Arabidopsis thaliana: one gene and its partners. The protein of the gene in region 2 interacts with the protein of the main gene of each other region in a biochemical or structural test. Each region holds a gene or a part of one and is shown on either strand. Other genes may lie near its edges. The genes, in order: AT5G51560, AT5G45780, AT2G02780 and AT4G20790.

Region 1 (7,909 bases), 2.4 Mb from region 2:
TCCAAACATGCCTACTTGATAATCCACCTATTAGTTAGCTCAACAAATGCAGGATCACTACAAAACATCAAGAATCTCAAAACAGATATCTTATATCCTATTATGAATAAATAGTCTCTAAACATACAAATGAATGAGATAGTGAAGGAACAAGATGTTATACCTTCTCAAGCTCCTCAAGAACAGACTTGGCAACTTCACCCTTTTGTTCAAAAAGAGCATCAAGCGTCATCATTGGGACCAAAGCCCTAACCACTATGATTCAAAAAACAAACATACAAGAACAAATCAAGAATCAAAACAGAGCTTCTTCAAACAAAGAAACAAAAAACATCAACAGAGAAGCAAAAAAATTACCATCAAAGACATAAGCTTGGATCTGCTCTTTAGGGTTTTGAAGCTCATAAAACGCATCATCAGCACTAGCTTTCACTACACGATACTGAATCGAACAAACCAGCTGCACAAACACATTATCCTACAAACAACAACGACAATAAGCCTAATTTACATGAATCTCACCACATACAGTATTAACCAAAATTCGCAAAGGATCAAAAGGAATAAGTGATCACGAACCTTAGTTTTGGTTTCAATTTTGACATCAAGAGATTTGATCCTAGTGGAGAGAACTCCGGCGAGCCATTGACCGGCGAGAGGGTTGAAGAAATGACATCCCGGTTCAGCTATATGCTCGAATCGACCCCAACGTTCGACCACACCAACGCTAGCTTGTTCAATACAACCTCCTAAGATACAATACGTATTACCCATTTTTACGCAGCACTCTCAAGCTTTCGAAGAAGAAGAAGAAGAAGAAGAAGTCTCGCTTATAAATCTCCACGACTCGTTCGTTTCTATGGAAACAAATGGTGTTATGTGATCGAAGCCTTTTGCTACCGTTAGATCAAGCGGTTTGAGGAGAAATGGACGGTTAGGATTAGTTACTGATTAATTAGCTATATCAACAATATCTTCCTTCCTTAGATATTTGGTATAATCCTTTTTTGACCAATGAAAAGTATAATTTGATATTTTTTTCTGTCTTTTGTGGACAACTAATAATTTAATTTATTTCTTTCAAATAACTCAAGTAATTCTAAAAATTTACTAGGTCCAAAATCTAATCCTGAAGTCTAGAAAAATCATGTAAATTATTCGAATCTGGTGGCCAATGCTAATAGTTAACCTTTGACTTTATATTTATAAATTTGTATCTAGATCTAGATGACTAATAAAGACTTAAAAGTTAAAGCTCATATCCAAATCTAAATCAAAACCATCTAACAAATCAATTCTTTTGATATTGATTTGATCAATATCAGAAAAAAAAATGTTATACGTTATTTTTTTTCTATATTGAATTATTGACAATAAATTGGTTCAGAAAGTTATAAAAAAAAAAGAAGACAAAGTACCATAAATATTTTCCATCTACCGAAATTTTTTAAAAGTAATGTACTTGTCTTGTCTTCTTCTAAGGTTGAAGAGCTTAACATAAACACAAATCATACAAACCAATAAAGTACAACACGTTGAACAGTTTTTAAACGTTAATGGGAAGGGAAAAGGCACCTTTTTCTTAACCCTAAACACAGGAAAAGGTGACTAACAAACCCTTCCTTAATTGATTCCTAAGGTACACATTACACATTTGCCTCGAGAGAGTTCTCAGAGACAGCTACTACAGTTACCTAGCTCATGAACTACAGCTTCCACGGATGGTCTTTCAATGGGAGATTCATGAGTGCATAGCCACGCGATTCTAGCTAGCTTTGTGGCTTCATATTCAAAGAATCTTCCTTGAAGATTTGGATCTATGTAATCATTGAACCTACAAGCTTCAGTTCCAAGCTTAACAAGATGCCTAACCTTCTGTTTCCCGGAGATTATCTGAAACACAAGAATCCCGAAAGCGTAGACATCGGTTTTCTCGGTGAAACGTCCGGTTGTGGTGTATTCTGGAGCGAGGTAGCCCATTGCTGCACTGTCTTTGAGTGCAGAGAAGACAATGTCGTTTGTGAGAAGTGTGTGGAGGCCTGAGTTTGAGAGTAGAGGACTGTATCGCTGGTCGATTAGAACTTTCTCCGCTGAGATGTTTTGGTGAACCAATGCTGGCTTGCTTCCTTTGTATGAATGTAGATAAGCAATCCCTAAACACAAAACATCAAACACATAAACAAAAATGAATCAAGAACGCTAACAAAATTGGTTCGGCATAAATAAAACTCATACCTTTTGCGATGCCTTTAGCAATGGATACTCTCGTGGACCAATCAAGAACATGCGCATCACCATCTTTGAGATCAAGATAGCTCAGTAAATTTCCATTAGGAGCAAAATCATAGATGAGAAAACATTCTCCACGGCCTCTTGAACAGCAGAAGCCTCTAAGTTTTGACAAGTTTTCATGTTTCAGAGACGCCAACATGTTGAGTCCTTTCAAGAACTCAGGTTCTTCAGATTTGCAACTTGTTTTACTAAACCGTTTGATCGCTACAGCAGAACCATCTCTCAAGATTCCTTTGTAAGTCGCAGAGAAGTTGCTTCTTCCAAGCAAATTCACTTCTGAGAAATACTGTGTAGCAGTTTCAACCTCTTCAAGATTGAATCGAAAGCTCTGGATAACTTCTTGAGCAAAGACACTGAGATTCCTATTGTCTGAAAGTGGATCCCAACCATTAGTATATTCAAGACTGGCCAATGGAGAACCATTGTTCTTCCTAAAACCTCCTCCTACGGTGTTGAGACGGTTGTCCGACATTTCATAAGTGGTTGAAAGCTTCTGTTTGCGTCTGCGATAATGCGTGAACAAGAGGATGCTAATAGCAGACAATGCAATAGTCGAGACAACCAAACCAATAAGGATTGCACCTTGGTGAGATTTTGGAGGAGTATTACAGTTTGTTCCATTACAAGGTGACCGTAGATTAGCTGATTCTGGTATATCCCGGGATGGAAAACCAAACACGGTTGCACCGTATGGCTTAGGTTCCTCAGGAGCTGTGCCATTGCAAGATTTCAACGGCGAGAACTCAGCTCCACATAGTCCCAAGTTGTTTTCAAACGAAAAACCTTCATTTAATCTCTTCAGTACTGTCAAATCGGTACAACAGAGAAAGAAATATAAACCAAAATGAGAAACACTTCACAAAATACGCAAAGTTAGTTTCAAAGATCATATAGTGAATCAGTTTTCTAACCAGGAGGTACATTGCCAGTGAGGGAGTTGTTGCGGATGTCGAGAACTCGAAGCAGAGGAGGGCTAGCTAACTTGCCTGGTACAGAACCAAACAAATGATTGTAGCTCAAATCTAGCCGCTCTAGAGCACTTAAATCTCCTAAACTCGCAGGTATAGCTCCAGTGAGTTTGTTAGATTGAAGAGCAAGAACACTCAGCTTCCTCAGTGAACTAAGCTCCCTAGGAATGCTTCCAGTCAAATTGTTGTAACAGAGCTGCAAAACTACACAACAACATAGACCAAAAAAGGAATGAAGCTTAGCTTTGACTTACATTAACTTAGAACTAATTCTAGATTTAGAAACCTGGTCCTGCTAATTAAAGCTCAAATATAAAGCCTTTTGAAAGTAAGTGAATCAATTATCTAAATAAACAAAATTAATCAAGAGAAGTACAAGTTATCTTCAATTCAAGTCCATATTTTGGGACCAGTAAGCCATTTATGGTTCCAATTAAAAGTTTGAATCTTAAAAAGTTCTTGACTATTCTTCCTTACAGGAAAATTACAAAAAGAAAAATCCTAACAAAAAGACATGAAAAGGACGTTTTAAAGACAGATCATTAAAGCATTAAATTCCAAAATCATCTAATTCAAATAATTTCAACTACCAGAGATAGTAATGAAGTAACTAAAACCCCTAAGACAAGGAGCTCAGATTTCTAGGTTTCAAATCTCCACAGAACATTGATTAATCTTGGGACAAGAATTTTGCAGAAACCAAAGATCTAACAATGCTAAATTTAGGTTTTAAGTTTAATCAATGATTAAGATTAAAATTAAAGTAAAAAAGAACTAACCTTGCAAGCCTTGCATCTTCCCAATGTTTGAAGGAATCTCACCGGAGAGATTATTAACATTGAGATAAAGATCCGTAAGTTCCGACAAGTTACCAAGTTCTCTAGGAATATCTCCAACAAGAGCATTGTAGTGCAAGAACAAACCCGTCAAATGTTTAAGCTTTCCAATGTTCGGAGAGATTTTACCAGATAAGCCTTTCCCTTGTAGAGATATGTTAGAAACTCGTCCTTTCCAGTCACAACCAACACCTTCAAAGTCTTTACACAGATCTCCATTAACACTCCATGAAGCTAAGTGTTTGTCTTCTGGGTCAAGCTCTGTTTTAACCTCCATCAATGTCGCTAACTCGTCGGTGATTTCTGCCATGACTTGGTTGCTGAAGTGAAGGAAGAGAAGTGGAAGAAGAAGAAGATGAAGCAGCATTTGTGTCGCCGTCATTTTATTTCTAGGGTTTGGTTTTGAGCTTGAAGATAGCAGCTTCAGAAAGCTAAAGGAGATGTGAAGAAAGAATTAAAGGTTCAGTTTTTCAAGAAGAGGAGAGAGAAGATAAAGACACAGAGATGTCGCATGCTTTTGTTCCATTCAGACAAAAGAAAAAAAAAAGTGTTTGTGTTTTGGAGATACCAGAGATGGTTTAAATCTGATCGTTCGATGTTTTTGTGTTTGATATGAATCGTTGGATCTCTTGGGATGTTTTTAGTTATGGTGAGTTGGTTTTTATGTTATCTTATCTCGTTGATGTTGGTCCACTCTGACTAGAGCAATGCATGTTCTCTTTTTTTTTCTCCTTAGTTTATATATATTTCAAATTCTATTTCTTACAACATTTGTAATAGAATTTTCAAAATTTATTATGAAGAATTTGTTGTACTTGTACATACGAATTTTCTACAGTAAGTCTATAAATTGTATTATGATCCAACTTTTGATATCTTTTGTAATCGTAAATAATTTAGCTAAAAATGGTAAACAAGAAAAATGAAGGTCAAAACAAAAAGATCCCACATAGATTTTGGGAAAGTGGAAAAGCTCTTCTAAATAAGGCAATCATTCAATTATGCTGCGATGAAGCTAGGAGGAATATGACCTAATGACCATTATATTTTGGACACACTAAAATGTTCTAATTTGCCCCAATAGCCGTTGTTTTAATTGGTTAGGCTACTTATTTTTGAATACTAATAATCACAGCTAGATTTTATATTTAACCAAATATAGTCATATAATCCTAAATGTAGTTAAAGACAATCCTAAATTATATTTTAACCAACACACAATCGCAAATATAGTCGTGTAATCCTTAATGCAGATATAAAAAATCAATTTAACTTAAGATGCTAATAACATATTTATAAAAAAAATATAACAAGTCTGAATCTTATATACACAAAAAGAGATGTGTCGATGGAGTTGGGAGACAATTTGTAAATTGAAAGCACAAGCAATGCAATGCAATCTATTAATCTAATAAGTGACTGGGCGACGAATTCGGAATGGAAATCATGTTCTCTAAATTGGGCTTTAAACAATATTGCGTGAAGCAAGAATAATAAATTTGGGCTTTAGAAAATTGCTAAAAGGCCCATTATCAAATACCCAAAAAAAAACTAGTTTCTGTGTCGGAATTGTATTGAGCTACCGTCTACCGATCATGGCATACCGCATACTTATCTTAAATTATTAAAATTGCCTGTCATTATTCAGTCATGACTAAAATATATAAAAGAGAGCAGAGATTCATCGTAGTAAAAAAAAATAACGACCCAAAAATTATTTTACATGCTTTATGTGACTTTCTCATTCCTTAATGATTACACATAAATCCCTGAATTCATTTTATCTCTTATGCTATCATGAAGTCATGAACTATAGAGACGGTTAACGAATTTGCATTCTACCATATTACTGAAGTGATGCAACATGCACGCACTTTAAATATAAATTTGCATGCAGAGAAACTATAAAAGGAAAATTGGCTTGAATTACTTAACATGAATGAAACTAAAAATATTAACGAGGTTCGATTATTTTGATTTTCACACTAAATTTCAAACTATATATTAAATTGAAGTCATTGAAGGTTATATATATGTGAAGTTGTTTTGAATCTTAACGCTTAAATAGTCATTTCGGATTGTGATCCCACTAAAAACACTCATTCAGGATTATGAGATTATCTAATAGTACTACAATTCTTCGTGAGCAAAAGAGAAGATCCTAAAAATAATGTTTGCGTTTTCACTTTTCACTCGTTTTCACCGAAGCTGTAATAATCACTCGACACTCATGTGGGTCACGACTCGGTCACCTTAAATTATTGATCCCAACATTTACGACATAAGTTCAGAATAAATAGCAACGACATAAAAATTCATTCTCGACTCTTGGGTTTGGGTAAAACAATATCAATAGAAAATACAAACTTCATCATCGCATCCACGATTCTAACTTAGATAACAAGAATCGCATCCCAATTAACTGTGGTGAAAAACGAGATTCCTGTTCACTGTCACTTAAAATACAGGTCACTAATCATCGAACTGAAAATAAACAATCATGCATGTTTGTGAAAACGTGAAAAAATTTCCACTGTCAAGAAAGTCATCGCACCTTACAAAATAATTAAATTCACCACTAAAGTCTACAAAAGAACATTATGAAACGAATTAAATGCAACACGACCAAAACTAACGATGGGCCTCACCATTCACCGGAGCGTACACTTCACACGCGGTCTAGGGAGTTAAAAAAAGTCCCGCAAAATTCACGCGACGTCTGTCTCTTTCACACTCAGATGACGTGTCATTTAAAACAAGGAGTCAACACTGCCAGGTCAGCGTATAAATCCACATATATGCCAGGTGTTGCCTGTCTGGCGTCAGTGGTTGTCCTTCAGTGTCACCGTAACGTCAGTGTAACAAGTGAGACCCACCAATAGCCAAAAAATAAACTTTTAGTGGCCCATTTTAGCAGAGAGCTTTCAATCTCAGCTGTACGATTCTGCTTGCTGACTAGTATATAATTAAATTTTATTTGGATTTTGTTTTGTAATATTTTTACAAAACAACATTTTCGTTTTTTTTATAAGTGTTTTGTAAAAATATTTAAAAAGTGTTCACATCAATATATACATTGACAAGAGAGCCGCGCAATTCGCTCCGCGATTGAGACGGGCCCATCCTCCTTATCCTTCCCAGGTTTTGTTTTGTTTACTTCTCATTTTTTTTCTCTTTGTTTTTGGATAATTATAAAATGTATCTAAAATCTAAATTTAGTTTTCGATAACTGGTTTAGTGGAACTATGCTGACGAGGACAAACGAACAGCTATTATCCGATATTTTATCTTTTTATCGTTTTTTTTTGGGAATGATACTTTGTATGGTGAAGAGTAAAATATAAAACGAAATTCTAAATATTCTCATTGGAACCTTCAAATGCGAATTATGGGAAATAGTTTTTATGGGATACACACCAGCACCTCGTATACACCATCACTGCTCATGTGTCCCTATTTTATTCACCTCTTTTCTCTTTTCAATAGTCACATTAGAAATTTCAAAAAAAAATCGAAATTTTAACACTTTCTTTGATGATTGGAATTGATGATTGGAATTGATGATGTAGAATCGTGGTTAGGTATAGCTAATTGATCCTACATTTTCCCCTACGTACCATAGTGTAACTATTGAGATTTGATAAAACAATCAAATTCCAAGCTTGATTTATTACTCTAAAATAGGGTGCTTCTGCTATTTGGGTTCAGGATTTTCAGGTTAACAATGATTAGTGAGTTTATTTTTTCCTCTTAATGGCAATGATTATGGGTTAATGGAGACTATATCATCGAGTATAATTTAAGTGATAAGGT
Region 2 (8,067 bases):
TTTATTTATACAAATTTGTTCAAAACATAGGGTTAGTTTAGGGACTGTGTAGTCCAGAGACATATTCATCTATAAGGACAATGAAATCAAAGGAGCTGCTTTTGATTGATTTTAGTTTTGATGATGACATTGAATAAAATAAGAAACATATCTCCAAGGTTCTTGGAAGATTTAGATTCTACCAAACTGATGTCAAAAGATTTACTACAACAAGAAATTCTTTAACATCCAAAGATAACAACTTAAAATAAGCTAGAATCAACAAAAATCTTTAAAGATCAAAACACTTTTTAACCAGTGATGTTCTGAGACTTGTTGAGGATAACTCCTTCATACTTGACCTGGAACCATTTCATTGCATCATCCTTGGTTACTCTGTGTTGAATACCAACACGAGTCTTGCATCTACGGCGGCGAGCCACACGATATCCTGGGCGTTCAAGGACAACGTAAAAGTCCATTCCGTAGATACCAGTGGAAGGATCGTACCTATATACACAAAATAAAACACATGAGAACAGTAAACATTTCAAATAAACCAGTTAATCAGTTTCGAATCTAACACCCTTGAAAAACAGTAAAGCATTCATCTTTTACTAGACCCAAATCTAGCATTCAACCAAAAACTAGTAAAGGGCTCATTTTTAATCCAATCCATACTTAAAATTCCACAAAAACTATAACACTCAGCGAAAACCAAAGTAGTCTGCATTCTGACTAAACCTCACAAAACCCCTAATTTAGAGACTTGACATTTAGATGCAACTGAAATTCTTTTAAACATATACAGATACATGAAGAATCCAAGTACCAAAACCATTATACAAAGCCATTAATGTAACTAATTCAAGGAAACTTTCATCGCAAAAGAAACAGAAAACTTACTTGATTCCAAGATCAATGTGCTCTTGGATACCAAATCCAAAGCAACCAGTGTCACTGAAGTTCCTCCTAAGAAGCTCATACTCCTTAACTTTCAAACCACTCTCAAGAAGCTGCATTGCCTTCTCACCTCTCACAGTCACATAACACGCAATCTTCTCATTACGCCTGATACCAAAAGACCTCACAGTGTACCTCGCTGTATAACAAAAACCACAACATACATCAGAATCAAGATCAACACAAAATCAAACTTAAATCCCTGAAAGATTTCAAATTCACATACCCTTAGAGAAGACAGGGGTTTGTCCACTGAGCTGCTCCAACACCTATACGAAATAACCAAAAACAATAATTCAAATCTAAATCACTAAATCAATGATGGATAATCGTAAAGGTCAGATTTTTACAAACAAAATCGAACCTTGGAGGCACGAGTGAGACGATCACCACTCTCACCAACGGAAATGTTGAGAACAAGTTTCTGAACCTTAATGTCCCTCATGGGGTTCGAGAGCTTCTTCTCCGACGCCTGAGAAACAAAACAAAGCCGAAAAATAAACCCATTGAACTAAACACATTTTCATTGAATCGATCTACAGAGACGAACGAAACAAATACCATTTTAAGGAGATCAATGTCGAGCTAAGAGACGAAGCAGTGTAGAGTTTGCAAAGCCCAAAACTGCGTCGAGTGCAAAGTGAGAGAACTTATATGGGTCGGTACTTAGGGTTTCTTGAATTAACGCAATGACGAAATTACCCCTTTGATTTATTAAAATGGTTTAATGGGCCAATATTATAAAGCCCATAAGAAAAGCATAATCTTAAGCATATATTTGGCCTTCTTAGTTACATAAGGCAAATAGTCTTTCATTCGCCGAATCACTTTATTATGTATGAGTTTTAAAATTAACGATAGATAATTTTTTATGAGACTGTGGAAACGCAAATCTTCATTTATTTTTGGAAGAACAGAATAAATAAGAGTTATTGAGAAAACAAATTTTTACAGTTAATGCCATGACAATGACAACAAAATCAAGAAGACTAGTTAAGACACTATGAAGTCTATCATCGTGGTCCAGAGAGCTCAATGGCTTCAATAATAAAGGACTGCTCTTCATGACCATTACTGTAGTTCCTAGAGACACTTGGAGCTCTAGCTTCATACCCTCCTTCACACTGTTCCACTAAACCTTCTAGTACCTTCAACACTTGAGACATCCTCGGTCTTAGATTCGGATGTGGCTGTGTACAAAGCAAAGCCAATTCCACTACTTCCTCCAACACCAAATCATCAAACTCTCCCTTCAAATCTCTGTCCACCATCTCTGCAAATCTCTTCTCTGCTTTCAATGTCCTTACCTACAAAAACCAATGGTTTAGATTTAAGTTTTGTCCTTATGGGTTCAGTCTAAGTTGAGTAAATGACTCATAGAATTTTTTTACTTACCCAGCTCAATATCATTCCTTTTCGAACTTGACCATTGCCTTGATCAATCATCTTATGACCTGTTATGAGTTCAAGGATTAGTACTCCGAATCCGAAAACATCGGTTTTCTCTGAGGACTGTCCAGTGGAAAGGTACTCGGGAGCGATGTGTCCAATGGTTCCTCGGACTGCGGTAGTGACATGTGAATCTCTCTGGTCTAAAAGCTTTGCTAGACCAAAATCGCCAACTATTGCTTCAAAGCTCTCATCAAGTAGAATATTTGCAGCTTTGACGTCTCTGTGAATAATCTTTGGATTGCATTGCTCGTGCAAGTAAACAAGTCCTCGAGCTGCGCCGAGTGCAATGCTTATCCTCCGATTCCAATCTAGAGACGGCTTTTCTCCATAATTGTCTGAAACATGTAATCTTATAAGGAACTTTTCGCGTTATATATCGAAAGAATAACAAAACAAGAAATGTGTTAATTGAAAACCTCTCAGACGATCAGCTACGCTTCCATTTGGCATGTACGGATACACAAGCATTCTCTCTTCCGGGGTCATACAGAATCCAAAGAGGCGTAAAAGGTTACGGTGAACAGCTAAGCCAATCATCTCTACTTCGGTTTGAAACTGAACTTCTCCTGTATAAATCGGATCTTTCAATCTTTTAACTGCCACCACAGTTCCATTTGGGAGATACCCTTTATAAACCATCCCAAACCCTCCTTGTCCCAAAATGTTCTTTGGACTAAAATTGCTTGTTGCGGTTTGTATTTCGCGAAAACTGAACCTTTTCAGATGGCCGATTTCAAATTCGTAGTCTTGCTGCACTAAGAAATCCATAAAAAGTAATGCAGATTTTAGCAAAGTCTTGACATATATTGTATATGACAGACAGAGAGAGACTATTAGATATGTACCGTGTGATCTTGAGAGACGTGATCGATGCCAAAGCACCCAGAAGAAGAGAAACATTAGGGAGATGATAAAGGCAACAACAATGCCAAATGCAAAAGAGAGCACTAAGCTGTGATGTTTGCTATTGTCCTTTTCAGACAAACCCGTCGCTGCAGATCGATTGCAGCTAGTTAAATAAACGAAACCATGTTTTAAATAAAGTTTTGCAAAGAATTTTCGAAGCAACATACCATTTCTCACAGGTGTAGCATCTGAGCAAAGCTCTTGGGAAGCTGGACCACAAAGAAATGCATTTCCTACAATCCTAAAACAGAAAAGTTTATCAAGAAGCTTTCACATAAGTTGCAACGGCTAATAATCATGCATTTTTCGCATATCTTACCTGTAATCTTTTGCTGATATATTCGGAGTTGGTCCGCTTAGATTGTTGAAAGATAGATCCCTATTCAAGTTTTTCATAAATAAAAAAACATTAGTCTAAGAAACATTATACGAAATAGAAATTTCCTGGAGCTGTAATGTTAGGTAGAGTAAGACATACAAGAAAGAAAGACCTGAGAGGCCAGCGACGAGGTGAGGGACTTGCCCAGATAAAAGATTCCTGCTAAGCCGCCTACAAGACTTAACCTTGTAAGAAAATAACAATTGCAACATTAAGTAAATCAAGAATCTTTGCATCAAACTCACAAGTAGTTTAAGTGAGTTAAGAACCCTAAAGAAGCTGGGATTTCACCACTAAACCGATTCCCCGATAAATCAAGCGTTTCAAGCTCAGAGAGTTGGCCTAACTCAGAAGGAATCGGACCAGTTAACTGATTATTCTGAAGTAACCTACAATAATAACAAGTAACCCCATTAGTTACAACAACACATACTTGAATTCCAAGATTAACCACAAATTCATTTAACTCACAAAGTATGAAGATGAGTTAATTCCCCAATACTAGTAGATAGTATCCCTGATAATCCTTTACTAGCCATCTCTCTGCATTAAAGATTTCAATAAACTCAGCAAAGAAACGTTTCTCAGAGACATTTAGTCGAACAAGTGGTGTGCAAAAGATACTCACAGAGAAACCACAAAACCTTCAGAAGAACAACCAACCATGTTCCAAGTACAAGGATCAACAGAGTTAATATCCCAACCAGACAAAACCTCTTTCTCATCTTTCATCTTGTTCTTCACTGACATTAACGCAGCCACTACAATAACCCAAAAATATGGATTAAGTCAAAACCTTTTTACACAATAAAAGAAAGATCTTTGATACTTTTTTCACCTTCATAGTTAACACCCTTGGGAGATAAAAGACTATCCATGGCAGAAACAGAGTCAAGAACAGAGTAATAATAAACCCAGATTCCTAAAAACAGAAACTTCATCAAAGAAATCTCCATCGTAGAAAAAGTATAAGAATTCTCTAGACTTCAATGTTAGTTATCATTTGTATGCCCTTTCTTCTAGGGCAGACCATTTGAAACATTATAAATACATTAAAAAGATAAGTTTTTTTTGGCATTAAATTGAATCGAGATGAAGAAGAAGAAGAAGAAGACAAATAAAGAAATTGACGATTATAGCAAATGGAAGCGGGAAAATCCTCGAAGTTGTCAAACGATTGTTTCCTTGTCTTCTGTTCTGTAAGACTTTTTTTTGTTTTTATATCTGACTTTTGACAGTGTTAGTGAGATTAGATCCTCTGTAATCGGTTCTACGAGAACAATGGTACAACAGCACACTCTTGAATCTGATATGGTATTCCGATCAACGGCTTGATTTATCTTTATTTCACCATTGAAAAAGTCAATAATGCTCAAGACTAATGCTCGTATGAACGATATTGGGTTAGTAATAAGTTGGGTTAGTATGGAATAAATGGTGTGACACAATATTTGAATGGTGATGATTTTTGTAACAATAACAAAAAATAATTATCTTGCGACTAAAATAATTATCAAGTTTTAATTAATTTTTGATAACATTTCGAGTAATAGCAAAGTCTTCAAGCTTCAAGACTCTTAAAACATGCAATATAATGCTTATGTGCTCATGCACGGCTGATTTAGTCATTTTACCCTTTCTCCATAAATCTTGTTTAGCCTCATTTTACACTTTTTCGTTGCAATTAGGACATATAATTCCTTCATGTGTTAATGGTCCTCATTCCTCTGCTAATCGCTTCCATTCTCATACCATTTTAACATGAAATAATTCCGCGACGAATTTTCAGAGATCTATCCCAAAAAAACATTATGTCCTTGAGTTTTTAGTAGGTCTTGTACATACCGATACCCTTTATATCCTGCAATTAATAGTTCATTTGCAACTTCAGGACTATCCTTCGCCCAAGAAATGATCTTTGATTTGATAATAACGTCACTTGCTTGCTTTTCATCTACAATATCCACACCAAAGTCATCTCACGTAAGATTCTATAAGTATAATATTAAAGAACATTTTTCTAGAAATATAATATTAAATTTTTTTACCTGAAATGACTGAGGTAGAGTCGATATAGGTAGAATCAAAGTAACTGAAGGTACCGAGAAAAAGTTCATTAGGGTCACCAACCGCCTTAATCGTAACGGGGTCAACGTGTTTTGAGATACCATAATTTTCGGTATCCCAATACACAACGTTTTTGGCAAGTGTGTAAAAGGTATCCTTTTTTGCAAGTGCGTAACAACTATCCTCTTCAAACGGTAGAATTACAAACTAACTAAAATAATTTACCTTGTAATTCAGTAGAGTAAATTTTACAAATTCTTGTTTAAATTACTTATGTATTGGTCTTAAACAGCTTGGTCTTTTTAGTTTTGAGTTTGGATATAATTGATCTTGGATCTAATGCTTTCTTGAGTTTTTTATATTACCTATGTTAGTATGTTTGCATTTCTGCTACTGATCTCAAATCATTGTAAAATCTCTCATACATATCATTTAGAATGTGGGTAAAATTATACTATGAAATAGTAATAAAAGCGCAAATATATCATAAAGCAAAAATGTGAACGATAAGATGATCCAAACTAAATTCGAAATGGTATCAAAGTGGCAAAGACGGTCTATGGCATAATTCACCAAAGCCACTGCTTACGACATCATTAAAAATATAGAATTATTTTCTGAATATTGGTTAGGTTGTGTATGCACACAATTCGTCCATGTCATATTGTCATATAGTATTTTTATCATTTTTAAGTTAATGTTTTGCTAATGTGATTGTTTTTTCATATATTTAAAGATTTTGAACCATATATTATTTTGTAAAGTCACGTGGATCCACCATTTTTCGTAGGTGCATGAAATAATTTGAACAAAACTTACAAATATTAGTTTTGTAATTAAAATAAAAGATATTTTTAAATTTATAGTGTTAGCATCTTTCAATCATTTATGAAAATTAAATAATAAAATAAATATTGTATTATTTATTTTTTCTAAATATCAAATAAAACATTTTTTTATACAGTAAATTACAATTTTTTTCTTTTAAACTTGTTTGTTAAGTTTTATATTTTTGATTTCGCTTTAGGGAATTATAGATGTTTTGACTAATTTAATAGTTAAGTGTATTGAATAATAACTCGAGCAATTAAATTAACCATTAGATCACATCTCGTCCAAATCGTTGAGTTACCACAGAAACTTGAGATCAAGTGTTTGAATCTATCTCGGTACCCACTTCTCTTCTCTCTTCCTCTCTCTCTCTCTCATGTTGTTACGTAAATGATTTGGAGATTAAACTAAAATTATTATAATTTGAACAATTTTATTATTAGAGAAGCAATTTCTTTTTTCTCCTAGTGAATTATTATTATTGAAGTGATTAAACTAGTGTTTTCTACACCTATAAATAATGTTTTGCAGATGTAATTTGAATCATTTGATCAGTTAACGCAAATACCTAAACAAGAGTCCTAAGCTTCGCCGCCCGATAATAATGTATGATTTGATGCCACGTCAACAAAATACCATTCAAATTCGGTTTGATAAATTTCGGTTCGGTTCAGGTAAAAACCGTTTGGTTCGACCAGCCTTAAAAACCGAACCCTCTCTAAACTCGTTTGTCGTTCTCGCTCTCTCTCCGCCGCTTTCTCTCTAAAATGGTGATCGATGTTCGAAAAATGTTTCCTTTTTCCCGAAATTCACAGTAAAAAAGATATGAATTCTCTAAAATCTTTGAGATACAGTAGCATTAGAGAAGCTTTGACACATCAAAACCCAACAAAGTCTTCATTTTTATGCCCACTTTACTTCTACAATCAACGAAGATGGTTAAAGCCTGTAGATTCAGCACAAACAAGGTTAGAGAATCGAACAAGAGATCATCAATTAGACAAAATCATTCCCCAGATTAGGAAACTAAACATCATCCTCGAGATTTCAAAACTCATGTCTAGCAAAAAGCGTGGTCCTTTTGTTTCTTTGCAGCTTATGTCTAGATGGAAGAATCTCGTTGGTTTGAATGTAAATGTTGGAGCTTTTATCGGTAAGTATCCTCATGCTTTTGAGATCTTTACACATCCTTTTAGTAAGAATCTTTGTTGTAAGATTACTGAGAAGTTTAAGGTATTGATTGATGAGGAAGAGAATGTTGTTAGAGAGTGTGAGGTTGATGCTGTGAAGAGGGTAAAGAAGTTGTTGTTGTTGTCGAAACACGGTGTTCTTCGTGTACATGCTTTGAGGTTGATTAGAAAGGAATTGGGTTTGCCTGAGGATTTTCGAGATTCTATTTTAGCTAAGTATAGTTCAGAGTTCAGGTTAGTTGATTTGGAGACTTTAGAGTTAGTTGATAGAGATGATGAGAGTTTGTGTGTGGCAAAAGT
Region 3 (7,864 bases), on a different chromosome or scaffold from region 2:
AAAGCGGAGATAGTGATGTTTCCAAAACTAGGGAAACACTGTTCATGCTCTTTGCAGATTTTCTCTGTATATAAACAAACAAAAAGAAACATTAGTTTCGTTAGAAAAGATGCAAAACTCAAAAACAAAAAAAAACAGAGATTATGAAGAGTCACCTTTGAATGTAGATACAGTATCATCCTTGTCCATGAGAAGGCCCAGACGAGTATCCATATTAGTAGTTACAAAGACACATTTCATGCCGGAATCTTCCATAGCTAAATCAGAAGGATTATTGTAAGAATAAACTAGGGTTTTGAATAAGTTTAGAAGAAATGAAAACTTCTCGCTATGATTGAGATTTATAAGCGACTTTCTTTATTAGAGAAGAAATATCAAAAGTCATTTGTATTGGGAAATGAAAACACTTTAATTACGAAACCAGAACGTCATCAATACTATCGTAATGCTATCTTTTCGTCTTCTTTCTAGTTTACGATGACTCATAATTACTTCTTCTATGAGATTTTCCCATTTCTACACCTTCCACGACTGAGACTGAAGATACTATTTACTAGGGAAACTTATATTCATCAACACTCTAATGCTTCAACATGTTTTTTAAACCTGAAAGTAAAAAAGCCTCACCATTGCCTAACAAAAAGACCAGTTTTATAAGTTTCACAATTCTAAGAGCATGATATGGGGTGATACTTATATAGTATCATGAGTAATTTTTTAGTATTATTTATAATATTTGATTTTTATTTGAGATTTTTTATGATACTCCTACTAAATATGATTATATTGGTGAGACCGGTTAAGTATAAAAAAATTTTTTTTGCAAATTCAAAAATTAATATATTATAACATAAGATTACTAAAGATTTTTTTTTTCTCTGATTTGAGCGAAAATATTGACCAACCGTATGCTGCAACGTCACATGATACTGAGTATCAAAGATATCAGTCCACTGATACAAATCAGACCCAAATTTATAATTTGATATAATTTTTGGTCTACTGATATCCAAAATAAATCACCCATTGGTCCATTTGGTGTTCTAGTGGCGGGCCCAAATGAAGCCAATAACAACACCTACAAGGCCACTACAGGCCCAACTCAACAATTATAGGCCCATCTTTATACTGTACCGTTAAGATAAACCTTGTCAAAATGGAATAAGAGAGAAACATCTCTTCTGGCGAAAAAAAAAAAAAGAGAAACATCTCTTCTACTATTGTTGTTGTTATTTTTGATGCTACAAACTACAAAGTACACTACAATACGAGGATTGCTATAAACAATTCAAAATCAACATCCTTTCTTTACAAACCTGAGAAATCAATGAGTCAATTGGTGTTTTTTTCAAGTGTCCCATATCATAACAATGGCAATGACAACAACTTCAAACAACACAGCCAAAAACTTATAACCAGGCTCATCCACATGGACCATCTTGTTTGGTCGATACCCTTTTGCCAATAAATGGTTCATAGACACATAAACAAATACCCCACACGCCAAGCTCATCGAAAGTGCCAATATCCATGACCGTCGCTGCGGTGGCTTCTCGACGCCATGGAACGTGCGTCTACGAGAGCTCACATATCAAACTCGAATGAAGGAAGCTGGTGTGTATGTGTTTGTGATCATCGAGCGTTTGTCATGATCCTGTCTTCTTGTGCCTATCTATCTTGGAGGCTCAAGAGATTGGTCAAGAAGTAAGAAGCTAGTAAAAGCCAATGGTATTGTAACAAAATTTGTTTTGTGAGCGAAAATGCATTGATCAGTAGTATGTATGCTAGGTGAGGTAACTTGGCAAAGCCACTTGCTGTTTTCGACATCTTACCTAACCTGGGTATAGCTATGGTTATTATAGTTATGTGGAACACAAGCACTTGTTTTTAGCTAGCGATACAAGTCATAACAAAGGAAGTTTATAGAATGCTGGATGAGGTAGAGACTTCTGTATTGGAGATTGCCCGAAACACGGAGTGTGGTTGAGATGGAGAGGTTAGACGTGAGCATAGTGAGAGGTTTGCAGTAACTTTTGGGATTTTCTATAGTATTCCAGGCACAGAGATTCTTGTTATAAAGAACCTGTGAAGGTTTTTGAAGATTTTGATGTCTTCATCAAGCAGGTTAGCAAGATTGTAGACTGCTGATTTGTTTTAAGAGATGCACGAATGTTCAGCGAAAGCAAGCGCGAATACAACAGAAGAGTCTGCAATGTTGTCGAGCAAAGCTGGACACACTCTCTTACATGTCTTTGTGTGTTTTTCAACTCCTTTTGCTTTTTATTCACAGATTACTAAGTTAGCTAATAAAAGATATTTCAGGTAGTCCATGAAACTACATCTTGACTTGTTTGAAACTTATTATTGTTTCTACAGTTTTTGCCTCTCTTTATGATCATTTCATTCATATATTGCTTTCATGGATGATTCATGATTCCCACTGCTTGGTCTCCATCCTTGCTGCACTTGAATTGTATACTGTAGATTCCACACAACGTCTTCTATGGAAGGACGCTTGCTCTGATCTTCGCAAAGACAGTTGATAGCAAACTCTACTGTCGTCCTCAACGACTCATAAGCATATGATCCTTTAACAGATGGATCTGCTAAGCTGCTCAATACTGATGGTTCATCTCTCAAACCGTTCTCCAGCTGCAGGAAATAATAACATTGAGGTTCTAAATTTGTAAGCCGTGTCGGATTCTTAAAGATGAAAAGGTTCTGACTGAAACAGAACAGACCTGAAGCTTCAAACTTCCCATCTCTGAAGATCCTGCAGCAACTACTTTCCCTGTGATGATTTGTAGTAGTATCACTCCAAACTGGTACACATCTTCTTTCTCTCTATCTTCATTACTGCACATTATTCATTAACAAGTTTCAAAATTTGATAGAAGAGAACACATTTGATCATATCTTAAGAAACAACAACAACCTCCGAGGTTTTTTGGCTTGAGGCCTCTCTTCTCCAACCTAGAAATGCCATTAAATTTTCTTAGATTCAATTAATAGAAGAAGAAATAAAACAAAGTTTTATACCTTGGATGGTAAAGGAATAGTATAGCCACTGATTTTTACTGTGAGTGTTTCATCAAGCATGATGTTCTCTATCTTCAAATTGTTCCCAAAGATTCCTGGTGCTACTCCCATATGCAAGAACTGTATCCCTCGAGCGACTCCTATTGCTATCGCCATTCTCTGAGGCCATTTCAGTACCTCTTTCTTCCTACAGTCTGATCACAAAAATTCCCATAATGAATAACCATTTGAGTCTATGGAAACCTGAATATATATTCTAATCTTTTTCAGGTTATTATTACTTGTGAGAAAGTCCCGCAATGATCCACTAGAGATGTATTCTTGAACAATGAAGATGGTGTGTCCAGCGTGTTGATTGTGGTCTTGGTTACTGGCAATGGAGTGTCCAAGAACGCTAACCAAATGCATATGCCTTAGCTTTGATAAAACTTCCATCTGTTGAGCTAAGCTTTGTGGCAAGCTCTTCTGCTTCAGCTTGATAACTCGCACTGTCACTGGTATGCCTTCTCTTAGACAACCTCTATACAGCTGTTCGAATACCAAATATATTAAGTAATCTATTAGGTTCGTCGCCAGAGTCTCAAGTCAAGTTTTTGTTTTTACCTGTTCGCAGAACAGGCTAGCTGCATCAAAGTCGTTAGTCGCTTCTTCCAGTTCCTCCAAGGAGAAAACGCGGTACGGTGGCAAACCAATCACTGCAGATCTCATTGTCTGTGGTACACGTCCTACACTCAGAAAGATCCTGTTAATGGTTTTTGCTAGAGAAAGACTCAGTTTCAAGTGTCCAAGTATTAATAAGATAAGTCATTGTTTACTTGAATCTGGTAATGACTTAGAGCTGGCAGTTGTGGTGCTGCAAACAGAGACTTTATCAGAGGCATGTCTCTCATTGTTGCTGTTGTTCACTTCAAAAGGATCATCTTCTGATCTTGATCTTCTTCTTTTGAGGGCAATCAAAACCAACAGAACCAAAATTGCTGCAAGGATGATCACACCGATGATTATCAAAATCACTAACCCGAGTTTGATTCTTGCAGAATCTTTATCTTTAGCCTTGGGGATAGGTTCCACAGCTATTGCCTTGCTTGCTTGGTTTTGACAGAAAGAAAGCGGACGCTGATACTTCGCGTTAGGAGTGCCAATCAAAGACAAGCAGTTGAATGAGAAAAGCACTGTCTGATTACTGAAACTCTTTGAAGAGTAGCAAGAAGGAAGCTTTCCAGTTAAAAGATTGTGAGACACGTCTAAAGTTATAATCTTTGAGGAGGTGCAAGAAGAATTTGGAAGTGACCCGCTTAACAGATTCTGATCCAAACTGAGAATTTGAAGAGAAGGAATCGAAAACAGAAACTCTGGAATCGACCCGGTGAATTCGTTGGAAGAAAGGTCTAAACTTTGAAGGTTATTCAGCTTCTTGATCTGTTCTGGAATCTTGGATCTAAAGGAGTTGTTCTTCAATGAAACAGTGGTGAGCTTACTTGGGAGTGAAGGAACTTCAGGACCGAGTTTATTACCTCCCAAATCCAGCTCTTGAAGATTTGATAATCCTCTGAGATCATCAGAGACAAAACCCCAGAACATATTGTCTCTTAAAACAAGGCTTTTCAGATTCTTCAAAGACACAATCTCTTCTGGAATCTTCCCAGAGATGAAATTAGAGCTAAGATTGAGAGACTCAAGAGACGGTGATAGCTTAGTGATGATCTTAGGAGAAAGAGAACCAGAAATTCCGAGAGAAGTAAGAGACAAAGTCTTTAAGCTCGATAGTTGTGTAAGAAGAGTGAAGAGTTTATGAAAACTTCCAGAGAGCTTACTAGTTCTGTTCCCGGTGACGGTTAACTCTGTTACGTGACCATGGAGGCAGATGATTCTCAAGGAAGGAGACGGACGAATGTGACAGAAGTTGGTTGTATCAGTCCATGATTGAAGAACCTGTGGATATTGTAGTTGCTTCTGGATTTCAAGAAGAGTTTGTGATTCACTTGAAGCTACCTGAGACTCAGAGAGTACTGGAAGAAGGAAAATAAGAAGAAGAAAAGTGAAGGAAGATAAATGGATTTGAAGAGAAATCTGCATAGTGAAGATGTGTTTTGCCTTTAGAGAAACAGAAACTCACTGAAAGTTATCATTTTTCTAGGAACAAAGACAGATCTATAGGTAGTGTAGAGGAAAACTTTGGATCAAGAGAAGAAGAAGAAGAAGTAAATGAAAGTAGAAAAGCCAATTAAGGTGGAGGCAATAAATGCAATCTTTAAGTTCTTAAACTTGGTTTGGTTGTTTGTTCATTACTGCACATTGCACAACCTCAACTTGACAGACTGTTTTGCAATGAATCCAAGAAGATGAAATGTTTATTTATTTGATTTGATTACTACTATAACAAATTAACAATAAGAACTTGTATTTCACATGATTTTTGCTTTGTTTTATTAGTAAAACAAGTGCTTTTGGTTATATATGATTGATCAGATAAGATTATAGAGATGTTTCATTACTTGTCGGTGATAGGTAATGAGGATTAAGAAATTTATGTCGTGTTTTGTCTTCGAGAGAGAGAGAGAAGCCATTAGGTTTGTGTCTTTTCTTTAAAAGTGTGGTTAGAGATTCTACCAAATGTCGAGCTGTTTCTTTTATTCTGATGAACTGTTCATTTACTAATGTTAGAAAATTTGAATGGATTTTATATGATCAAGCACATCTGCACATGCAAACGGCCTTGGAATAATCGTCACTGCGAAAGTATCATTTAATATTTTCTGCAACAGACATTTTTTTTTTATCGAAAAATATGCATTTAAAATTCAATTATTTAATTTTTATTAAAATTCAATTATTTAATTTTATTAAAATTCAATTACAAATCAAGTTTGACAAAAAAAAAGAGAGGTTATTTTGGGCTTCATACGTGTAACATTTAGCCCGTATATTATATATAATACGGTTAGGCCCAAAATTGTACAACCTTTGAGTCCATATATATTTCCAAATATTTTAGTTTCTATATGATTTTTTTTTTTTTTTTTTTTTTGACAAGTAATTATACAAAAAATGATTTACTTAACATTGGGACATATATGTACTATGCTTATTCCTTGTGAATGCTAATACAGTAAATTATTTATAAACTAATCCTCGATAAATTACTATTTTTACAAATTAATAAATTCTTGACGTTTTCAATGTAATAAATAACACAAATCAATGAAATTATAAAATAATAAGTTTTTAAAAACTCTTACGTAAACATATGATCTCATCAATATCATAAATTAATAATTTTACACTTATTAATATATATATATATATATTTAATTAAATTAGTGGGATTTAACTCTAGTATTGTTCATTTTTCTTAAATTTGTATAAAATTTTTAGTAGAGTTCATTTCTAATATTTTTACTATATTGAACAAAGTGTTTTTTGTTTACTAACTTAACAATTGGTTTTTTATTTGTAATTTATTTTTGAAAGACATTGATTATAAAGACAAAAACTACTTCTCACATAGAAATTTTAAAAAATTACAAAATTAATAAAATCTCTCTATAAGATTTATTAATAAATTAATACCTTTATAAATTAATTAGAATTTATCGGTTCCGAGATTATTAATTTATTAAGGTTTAAAACTGAGCCTATAAACAAAAGAGGAGGAACAAGATCGTATTTCTAGGGTCTCAAACTACAAAAATGTAATGTATGAATTCATTGTAATCTATTTCAGTTTGTTTTTTACTTAGCTATTTAGGATCCTAGAATTTATTTATGAGCTTCTTTTGATTAAACAAAACTTTCGATTATTGTGTTTCAAGAAAAGTAAACTTCTCGGATCCTAAAACTTTGATTAGACGTCATAACATGTTTTTTATTCAGAATCTGATTTGCAGCTTTTTTGCCTTTCATTTACTGTTTTACACTAAATATATAGACAATCATCAAAATTTAAAATCTTCTATTTAGTTTTAGCTCATTTATTAAAGATCAACTGTACAAAAGTTGTAAAACAAATTCCAGTGAATGATGGTAATAAGAAATAACTTAAAATGATTATAAAGTATTACATGTTTATAGCTAAACCACATGATATGACACTTAACATTCTAATAGTTTAATTTGAATTTGGATGGTGACAAAATGATGACTCTAATACGATTTAGTTTATCTTTTGTTAATTATGTGTGTCTATCTTTCTTAGATATATTTATGTGAATGAAATAATTATTTATATGTTTTTATTATTTGATTAAAATCAATAAAATTTGTTGTAACTTAGAAATCTAGGCTTATTTCGAATTTATCTCAAATTGAGATCTAAGATTAAGTATGAGTGTTTTTGGATTGATGACAAGAGTTTTAACCATTATAATACGTTTCTTTATAATTGTAGGATTACTGCTCATGGAGGCTAATTGATCGGCATTGAGACAAAGAAAAAGTTAGTTTTCGTTTCAGATTATGATTCTATTTTTTTAGTTAGTGTTTTTTCTTTGTTGCTTTTAATTGAATATAGACATTTGTTGGGCAATTGTTTATGTAAGTCAATATGAGATAGACTTAGAGGAGTAAACACAATTGTTTATGTACGTCAACAGAGCGATTTGAGTAACGAGAATGAAAAGAGTCTTTCTGTTGTTTTAATCAGCTTTTGATAATATTTATAAAATATTCGACTTGATCTGTTAATTAAATAATTTGAAATTCAAGTATCAGTTGTTCTTATACCAAATTACAGTTTTAGCAGTATATTTTTGTAAATGAAGTGAAGATTATAAAGTATTATATGTTTATAGCTTCTTTTTTTGGTTAACTATTTATAGCTAAATCA
Region 4 (6,399 bases), on a different chromosome or scaffold from region 2:
AATATTTGGTTTCGTTTCATTTGCATCTGAAACCGAAACAAGAAGAACAAGTAGCAGAACATAAACTACTTCTTTCATTACTTTGATTGAAGAACTCAAAGAGAAACGAAAAATCTAAAGTAATTTGTTATTTTTCTTATGTATTAATTGGGATTTAGACTTATAGAAAAAACTATGGAAAGAAAATTAAACTGAAAGATGTATTTACAGTACTTTGAATAAACTTATAAACCTACAAAATATGGAAACTGAAGTAATGAGGGAAAGTTGAATACTTTTTTTGTTTTATAATGTAATTGCCTAATTGGAAACGTAACTTAATGTGAAACTTTATTCAATTTTTTTGTTTTTGATAAAAAAGTGAAATGACTAGGGTTTATTGTAAAAGTAGGCAGTTTTTAGAAAATTATTTGAGAACTAGACAGTTTTTTTGGAAATATGCTAAGAGGGTACTTTTTATTGGGCTTGTCTAATAGGATTCATGTGAGATAGAAAAAGGTAGCAAAAATCCAAAAGAGGTGTCAAATACAATAGTAGCCTTGTGTTTTAAAAACACACATTCCGGCTGGGTTCGACGAAACAAATTGGATTGGGTTTTAAAACTCATTTTAGGCCCGTTAACTCCAATTCGTATTAAGTGAGCCCAAATATTTGAGCCCGATAGTTTCATTACGTTTTTTATCCAAATAACTTCTGAGCCCGTGTTTATTCTGAGATTGAGTTACTTTACTCTTCTTGGTTTTTCACGAACCCTAGCCACAGTCGGTGTACAACAAATCGAGGGTGAACGAGTTCGAGAAGAGAGACGTTTGAGAGAAACCCAGTACACCAAATGGGTACACTATAATAGTACACCAAGTGAGAACACTAGAACAGTACACCACTAGTACACTAGACTAGTACACTAGCCAAGATAGAATATAATAGTAGACTAGAATAGTACACCAAATGGGTACACCAATTAGTAACCAAGTGAATTAAAAACAGTACACCACTTTGGTGCACTAGACTAGTCTACTATTATACTAAAAACATTTAGGAAATGCAATGGAATTAAAAACTATACCCTAAAACTATACACTAAAAGACATTATTGAAATGTAGTGAAATTCAAAACTATACACTAAAAGACAAAGAGAGAAGACTAAACCCAAGGAAAACCATATATCATATGGAATAAAGTTTAAAACTATACCCTAAAGCCTTAGATTACTAGAATTTAGAATTCCAAGTAAATAAATAAATTCCTAATTCAAAATCATAACCCTAGATTATTATTATGCTTCATAACACTTGAATTGAAATATATTGTATTATAATTTGGATTGATACTTTGACATTCTAGAAGTAGACTAGAATAGTACACCAAATGGGTACACTATAATAGTACACCAAGTGAGAACACTAGAACAGTACACCAGTAGTACACAAGACTAGTACACTAGACTAGTACACCAAATGCGTACACTATGATAGTACACAAAGTGAGAACACTAGAACAGTACACCACTTCGGTACACTAGACTAGTACACTAGCCAAGATAGAATACTAAACAAAAGACGTCGTGACCAACCATGGAGAATCTTCGCCGGAGAACTTGTTCAAGTGATTTGAAAGTCTGAATTTTTTCGCAGTTAATAGCCTTTCCTGGCCTAGTTTTATCAACCTTGAAATCCCACCAACCATTGGAGTAGCAAATCCACCGGCCGACCATGGAGACGCAGGATTCATCGTCCCCTGAAAAAACGAAAACAGAGTCATCGTCTCCATCGTTATTTGTTGGCCGTACACTCAATTTCATAAACTGTAAAGCTTCTTATGATAACTCATACCTTCCATCTCGACAGATTTTGACAATGTGTGTATGATTTTCGAAGTGACGAGGGTTTATCTTCTTTTGACAATGACGACTTCAGAGAAGATGTCGACGACGAGAGAAGTTTATGTTCAACGAGGGTTTAGGAGATAAGTTTATGTTTGGTTTCAATGTCTTGAGGACAAATGGGTTTGAGTTTTGTGATATTAGCCCATGACAAATCTTGAATTTTGAATGATATTGGGCTGGTTTGAATTTGGCCCATTAGTTTTCATCAAAACACAAGAGGGGTAAAACGGTCTTTGACTATTTGCTGTATTAGAGGAGGGCTGTATTAGAGAGGACAGAAGAAACTACCCTATCAGCCTATTTTTAAAAAAACTGTCTAGTTCTCAAATTATTTCCCTAAAAACTGCCTAGTTCTCAACTTATCTCAAATGACTATTCCTCTCACTTTTTGAGTTAGTGCTCATGGAAGTAGCATTTAGCTTCTGTTGAATTCACCTTTTAATGCGTTGCATTAGTGTAAAATTCTCTAACAATTAAGAAGCCTGAGTAAGTTTGCAATAAATTTTATTTTCTTTATCAAAAGTTTACCTTTTAGCTCCTGTTGAATTTCCATTTTTTTAAAGATTCATTAAGACAATAACTATTATTTTTATATATTTTTATTATTCTTAATTAAGAAAATACAAAAAATTATAAAATATGTTAATAACAAAATAATAAACAATACAACATAGGAAACTATACCAATTAAAGAAATTAAATGCATATAGATTAGATGAATAAAAATAGAAATGTAGAAAATTAAAAATTATATATATGATTCTATAAATCTAAATTTTAAATTAGGCATATTAATTTGGTAAAATTGCAGAAATATAAAGTTCATTGGATATAAAGTGAAACTATTGAAGATTTTATTGATAGTAGTTTATATAATTCAATTCAATTCTCAAACAAAAATTATATTTAACATTGAGCACATTTACCAAATAATTATCGACTCAAATTCACCCACGTAGATGTTTGTTGCGCAAGAAAGAGAAAAAGTTTAGAACAAGATAAATAGACCAAAGAGACAAGAAATATATGAAAGGAATTCGAGGCACAATCTTACAAATACAAGCAAAACCATTCTAGATAATTTTTTACCAACTGACATAAACACATTATTATGTGTTCAATGACAACGAAAATGATAATTAAACATTGAAATTTGTTTTCATAGTGGAGCTATTGTAAAAAGTGTAGATATTCACAAAATTTAAAAAACTTCACAATTATTATTATTTTAATAATCTTCAACTTCCAAGCACACGATCACTAAAAGGAAAATGGGCGCGTAAATCTCATCCCACTCTGTTTCAAAATAACCGCCAACAACAACAACACCTCCAATAACACAGAAACTACCTCTCTGCTTCTCTCTCTAATCTCACCCATACACGAAACCAAATAACGAAACCTATTTGCTCTCTATCTCTCCAATGGCGTCTTCTCTGTTCTTCATCTTCTTCCTCACGTCACTACTATCATCCTATCTTCCTCTCTCAGTATTCTCCGCAACCGTCGTCGAAGACCTCGCTAATCTAAGTCCACCTCCTGATTTCAACACCACTATTTCCAACAACTGTCTTCGTGATCCAATGCTCCGTTACTGCAACAACACTTCCTCTTCTCCAATGGACATTGTCGAGATTTTCAGATCCACAATCGTCGCTAGTCATCTCTGTAACGAGTCCAAAAACCCTAACTGCGTTGAATCTTTCCCTAGAATCAGAATTCACGGTCGTCCTAAAACCGCTGCTCTTTACCTCTCTTTCGATTTCTTCTGGAAGTACTGTCCTTTAACCGTCGTTGATATCGAGTTAGTGAATAACTCTCTAACGAATGGTTTTCCGACAAATGTTCTGTCTTGTGCTCAGATTCGTACTCTTGATCTGAGTTACAACCAATTCTCTGGTTTTGTTCCGGTTCAAGATCTCTCAGGCTTACCCAATCTGACCCATTTGAACCTATCGTATAACCGATTCTCCGAGAATAAGATCTCGGATTCTGAGTTCTTCAAACGGTTTAACGCCTCTAGTTTCATACAGTCCGGTGTTCTTCCCAACGTGAAGCGTTACAAGATGAAAGTTTTGGTCTTGTTGATTGTTTTTCCAATAATGGTGATTTTGCTCTGTTTTTGCTTTGGCTGGTTATGTGTCAAGAGACCTGATTACTTACCAAGAACATGCCGGAGAAGAAACAAGTTCACATTCGCGATGCTTGAAGCAGCAACGGATGAGTTTTCAGATCAACATCTTGTGAGCATGAGCAATACAGTGGATATCTACAAAGGAACGTTAAGAGACGGGACAGAGACGAAGATCGAGGTTTATAAAGAGAAGGTTTCGAGTGAGAAAAGGCGTGAATTCGCAGAGGTATGCGAGATGGTTTTTAAGTTACGACACAAGAACTTGGTAAGAGTGTTGGGTTGGTGTAATAGTAGAAACATGAGAGCTTTGGTTACAGAATGGATTCAAGGTGAAAATGTTGAGACTTGGTTAAGTTCGTCAATGGCTTTATCATGGAGAAGAAGGTTAAGAGTAGTTCTAGGAGTTGTAGAAGGTATTTGTTATCTATCAGATCAATGGCCAGAGATTACATTTGATCTCACCACAAGCAGTGTTTTGTTATCCGATGATAATCAAGAACCTTTGATTTCTCATTTCAAGATTGGAGATAGAAACAACTTGTCAACAAGTAAGGCTTCATCTTCTTCTTGCAAAAATCAAAACCTTTTTAAGGCTATAAAAGCTAAGTCTGTTGTTGTTGTTGTTGTTGTGTTATTACAGATATATTCAACTTTGGATTGTTTTTTGTGGAGATGATTACAAATCTAAGACCTGATTTGGGACAAGAAGATTCAGAAAGAAGGTATCTTGAGTATATAAGAGTTCATTATCCGGATAATCTAGAGAGAGTGATTGATGAGAAGATGAAGATTGAGGGGAGAACATTTGATCAAGTTAAGCAAGCCATTACGCTAGGACTGATGTGTACTGATATAATACCACCATTAAAGCAACCAAGCTTGACGCAGATTTATGACTTGGTGAGTTCATTGTATGAGTCTAGTTCACGACATCATTGAAATACCTTGTAAAGCTTTATTGGTTTCTTTTGATTTTCAGACATCTGGTGTTAGATAGTATTGTAAGGATTAAAGACATATTTGTGTGTTTTTTCTTTGATTACTATAAGTACTGAGAGAATTTGCAGAAAATGAGTACTTAATTTGCAGACATGAAATCTGTAAATGGGCTTCATTTCTGCAAATGGGCTTTATTAGCTGAAATGGGTTTCATAGTTTTATGGGTTCTCAAATGACCCGACCCGGGTTGGAAGATATAGAAACTATACACTGGTTGGCAAATGGGAACGTTCGATTAAAAATTCGGTAACTACTACGACGTGACTTGTCTCTTCTCCGTTGAAAAGCCATCGACAGTTATGTATGAGTGTATCATTTATCAACTTGAAAGCAATTTCAGTTTTTAAAATAATCCAAATACTAATAAACCAGAAATTAACCCATCATCAAAGCATTAATAATCTTCATTACCATTTGAAACCGAAACTTGTATCACAATTAAATAACGATCATAAAATTAGACGTTTTTTTTTCTCTATCTCCATTTTCCCGGGGGAAAAAAGATCGGATTTTTGTTCTAATGTCATTGTCAAAATATTATTCGACAGATCACAAAAAAGGTGACCGTTTTTTTTTTTTTTTTTTTTTGGCAAAAAAAAAGGTGACCTTTTTATTTTGACATTGATAGTATGAATTATGGGGTCTGATGCTAGAAGTTCTTACATGGCGGGCCAGACAAAGTCAATGCCGGCAACAACGGACTCCTACACATAAATTTTTTAATTCACCAATTGTTTCTCTTCTATAATTAGCCCTCATCACTCAATTTCTCAATCTCAGATTATAATTCCACAAACGAACAAGAAGAAGAAGAAGAACACAAGATAACAATGGAGAGTAACAACAACGAGAAGAAGAAAGTTGCAAGACAATCATCATCCTTCAGACTACGTAGCCCAAGCCTAAACGCACTTCGTCTCCAACGAATCTTCGACTTATTCGACAAAAACGGCGACGGATTCATAACCGTCGAAGAGCTAAGCCAAGCTCTAACACGTCTTGGTCTCAACGCTGATCTCTCCGATCTCAAATCCACCGTTGAATCATACATCCAACCTGGTAACACTGGTCTCAATTTCGATGATTTCTCTTCTCTTCACAAAACACTCGACGATTCTTTCTTCGGTGGAGCTTGTGGAGGAGGAGAAAACGAAGATGATCCTTCTTCCGCAGCTGAAAATGAATCGGATCTCGCCGAGGCGTTTAAGGTGTTTGATGAGAACGGTGATGGATTCATCTCCGCTAGAGAACTGCAAACTGTTCTGAAGAAACTTGGTTTACCTGAAGGTGGAGAAATGGAGAGAGTGGAGAAGATGATCGTTTCCGTTGACCGGAATCAAGATGGTCGCGTTGACTTTTTTGAATTCAAGAACATGATGC

Evidence for each region.
Region 1: the proteins of AT5G45780 (region 2) and AT5G51560 form a complex in vitro, tested with the Arabidopsis thaliana proteins (one large-scale study listed by BioGRID).
Region 3: the proteins of AT5G45780 (region 2) and AT2G02780 form a complex in vitro, tested with the Arabidopsis thaliana proteins (one large-scale study listed by BioGRID).
Region 4: the proteins of AT5G45780 (region 2) and AT4G20790 form a complex in vitro, tested with the Arabidopsis thaliana proteins (one large-scale study listed by BioGRID).

Annotation. Positions count from the first base shown.
Region 1 is NC_003076.8:20,942,376-20,950,284, reverse strand, and holds AT5G51560 (Leucine-rich repeat protein kinase family protein), read right to left. Parts: upstream 4,610-7,909; 5' UTR 4,479-4,609; coding exon 4,040-4,478; intron 3,465-4,039; coding exon 3,204-3,464; intron 3,097-3,203; coding exon 2,236-3,096; intron 2,154-2,235; coding exon 1,672-2,153; 3' UTR 1,346-1,671; downstream 1-1,345. Other genes in the region: AT5G51570 (SPFH/Band 7/PHB domain-containing membrane-associated protein family), read right to left, coding at 164-255, 358-478, 580-774.
Region 2 is NC_003076.8:18,564,991-18,573,057, forward strand, and holds AT5G45780 (Leucine-rich repeat protein kinase family protein), read right to left. Parts: upstream 4,917-8,067; 5' UTR 4,636-4,916; coding exon 4,518-4,635; exon of another isoform or gene 4,441-4,517; coding exon 4,308-4,440; intron 4,223-4,307; coding exon 4,151-4,222; intron 4,069-4,150; coding exon 3,925-4,068; intron 3,851-3,924; coding exon 3,779-3,850; intron 3,680-3,778; coding exon 3,620-3,679; intron 3,542-3,619; coding exon 3,468-3,541; intron 3,387-3,467; coding exon 3,240-3,386; intron 3,150-3,239; coding exon 2,811-3,149; intron 2,730-2,810; coding exon 2,338-2,729; intron 2,250-2,337; coding exon 1,956-2,249; 3' UTR 1,808-1,955; downstream 1-1,807. Other genes in the region: AT5G45775 (Ribosomal L5P family protein), read right to left, coding at 291-489, 886-1,081, 1,169-1,211, 1,307-1,414, 1,504-1,506; AT5G45790 (Ubiquitin carboxyl-terminal hydrolase family protein), read left to right, coding at 7,355-8,067.
Region 3 is NC_003071.7:779,532-787,395, forward strand, and holds AT2G02780 (Leucine-rich repeat protein kinase family protein), read right to left. Parts: upstream 5,392-7,864; 5' UTR 5,116-5,391; coding exon 3,855-5,115; intron 3,765-3,854; coding exon 3,643-3,764; intron 3,568-3,642; coding exon 3,321-3,567; intron 3,234-3,320; coding exon 3,040-3,233; intron 2,974-3,039; coding exon 2,936-2,973; coding exon of another isoform or gene 2,911-2,935; exon of another isoform or gene 2,857-2,910; coding exon 2,742-2,856; coding exon of another isoform or gene 2,679-2,741; exon of another isoform or gene 2,653-2,678; coding exon 2,401-2,652; 3' UTR 2,143-2,400; downstream 1-2,142. Other genes in the region: AT2G02770 (4'-phosphopantetheinyl transferase domain protein), read right to left, coding at 1-64, 156-255.
Region 4 is NC_003075.7:11,133,335-11,139,733, reverse strand, and holds AT4G20790 (Leucine-rich repeat protein kinase family protein), read left to right. Parts: upstream 1-3,310; coding exon 3,311-4,568; intron 4,569-4,660; coding exon 4,661-4,959; downstream 4,960-6,399. Other genes in the region: AT4G20800 (FAD-binding Berberine family protein), read right to left, coding at 1-78; CML42 (calmodulin like 42), read left to right, coding at 5,850-6,399.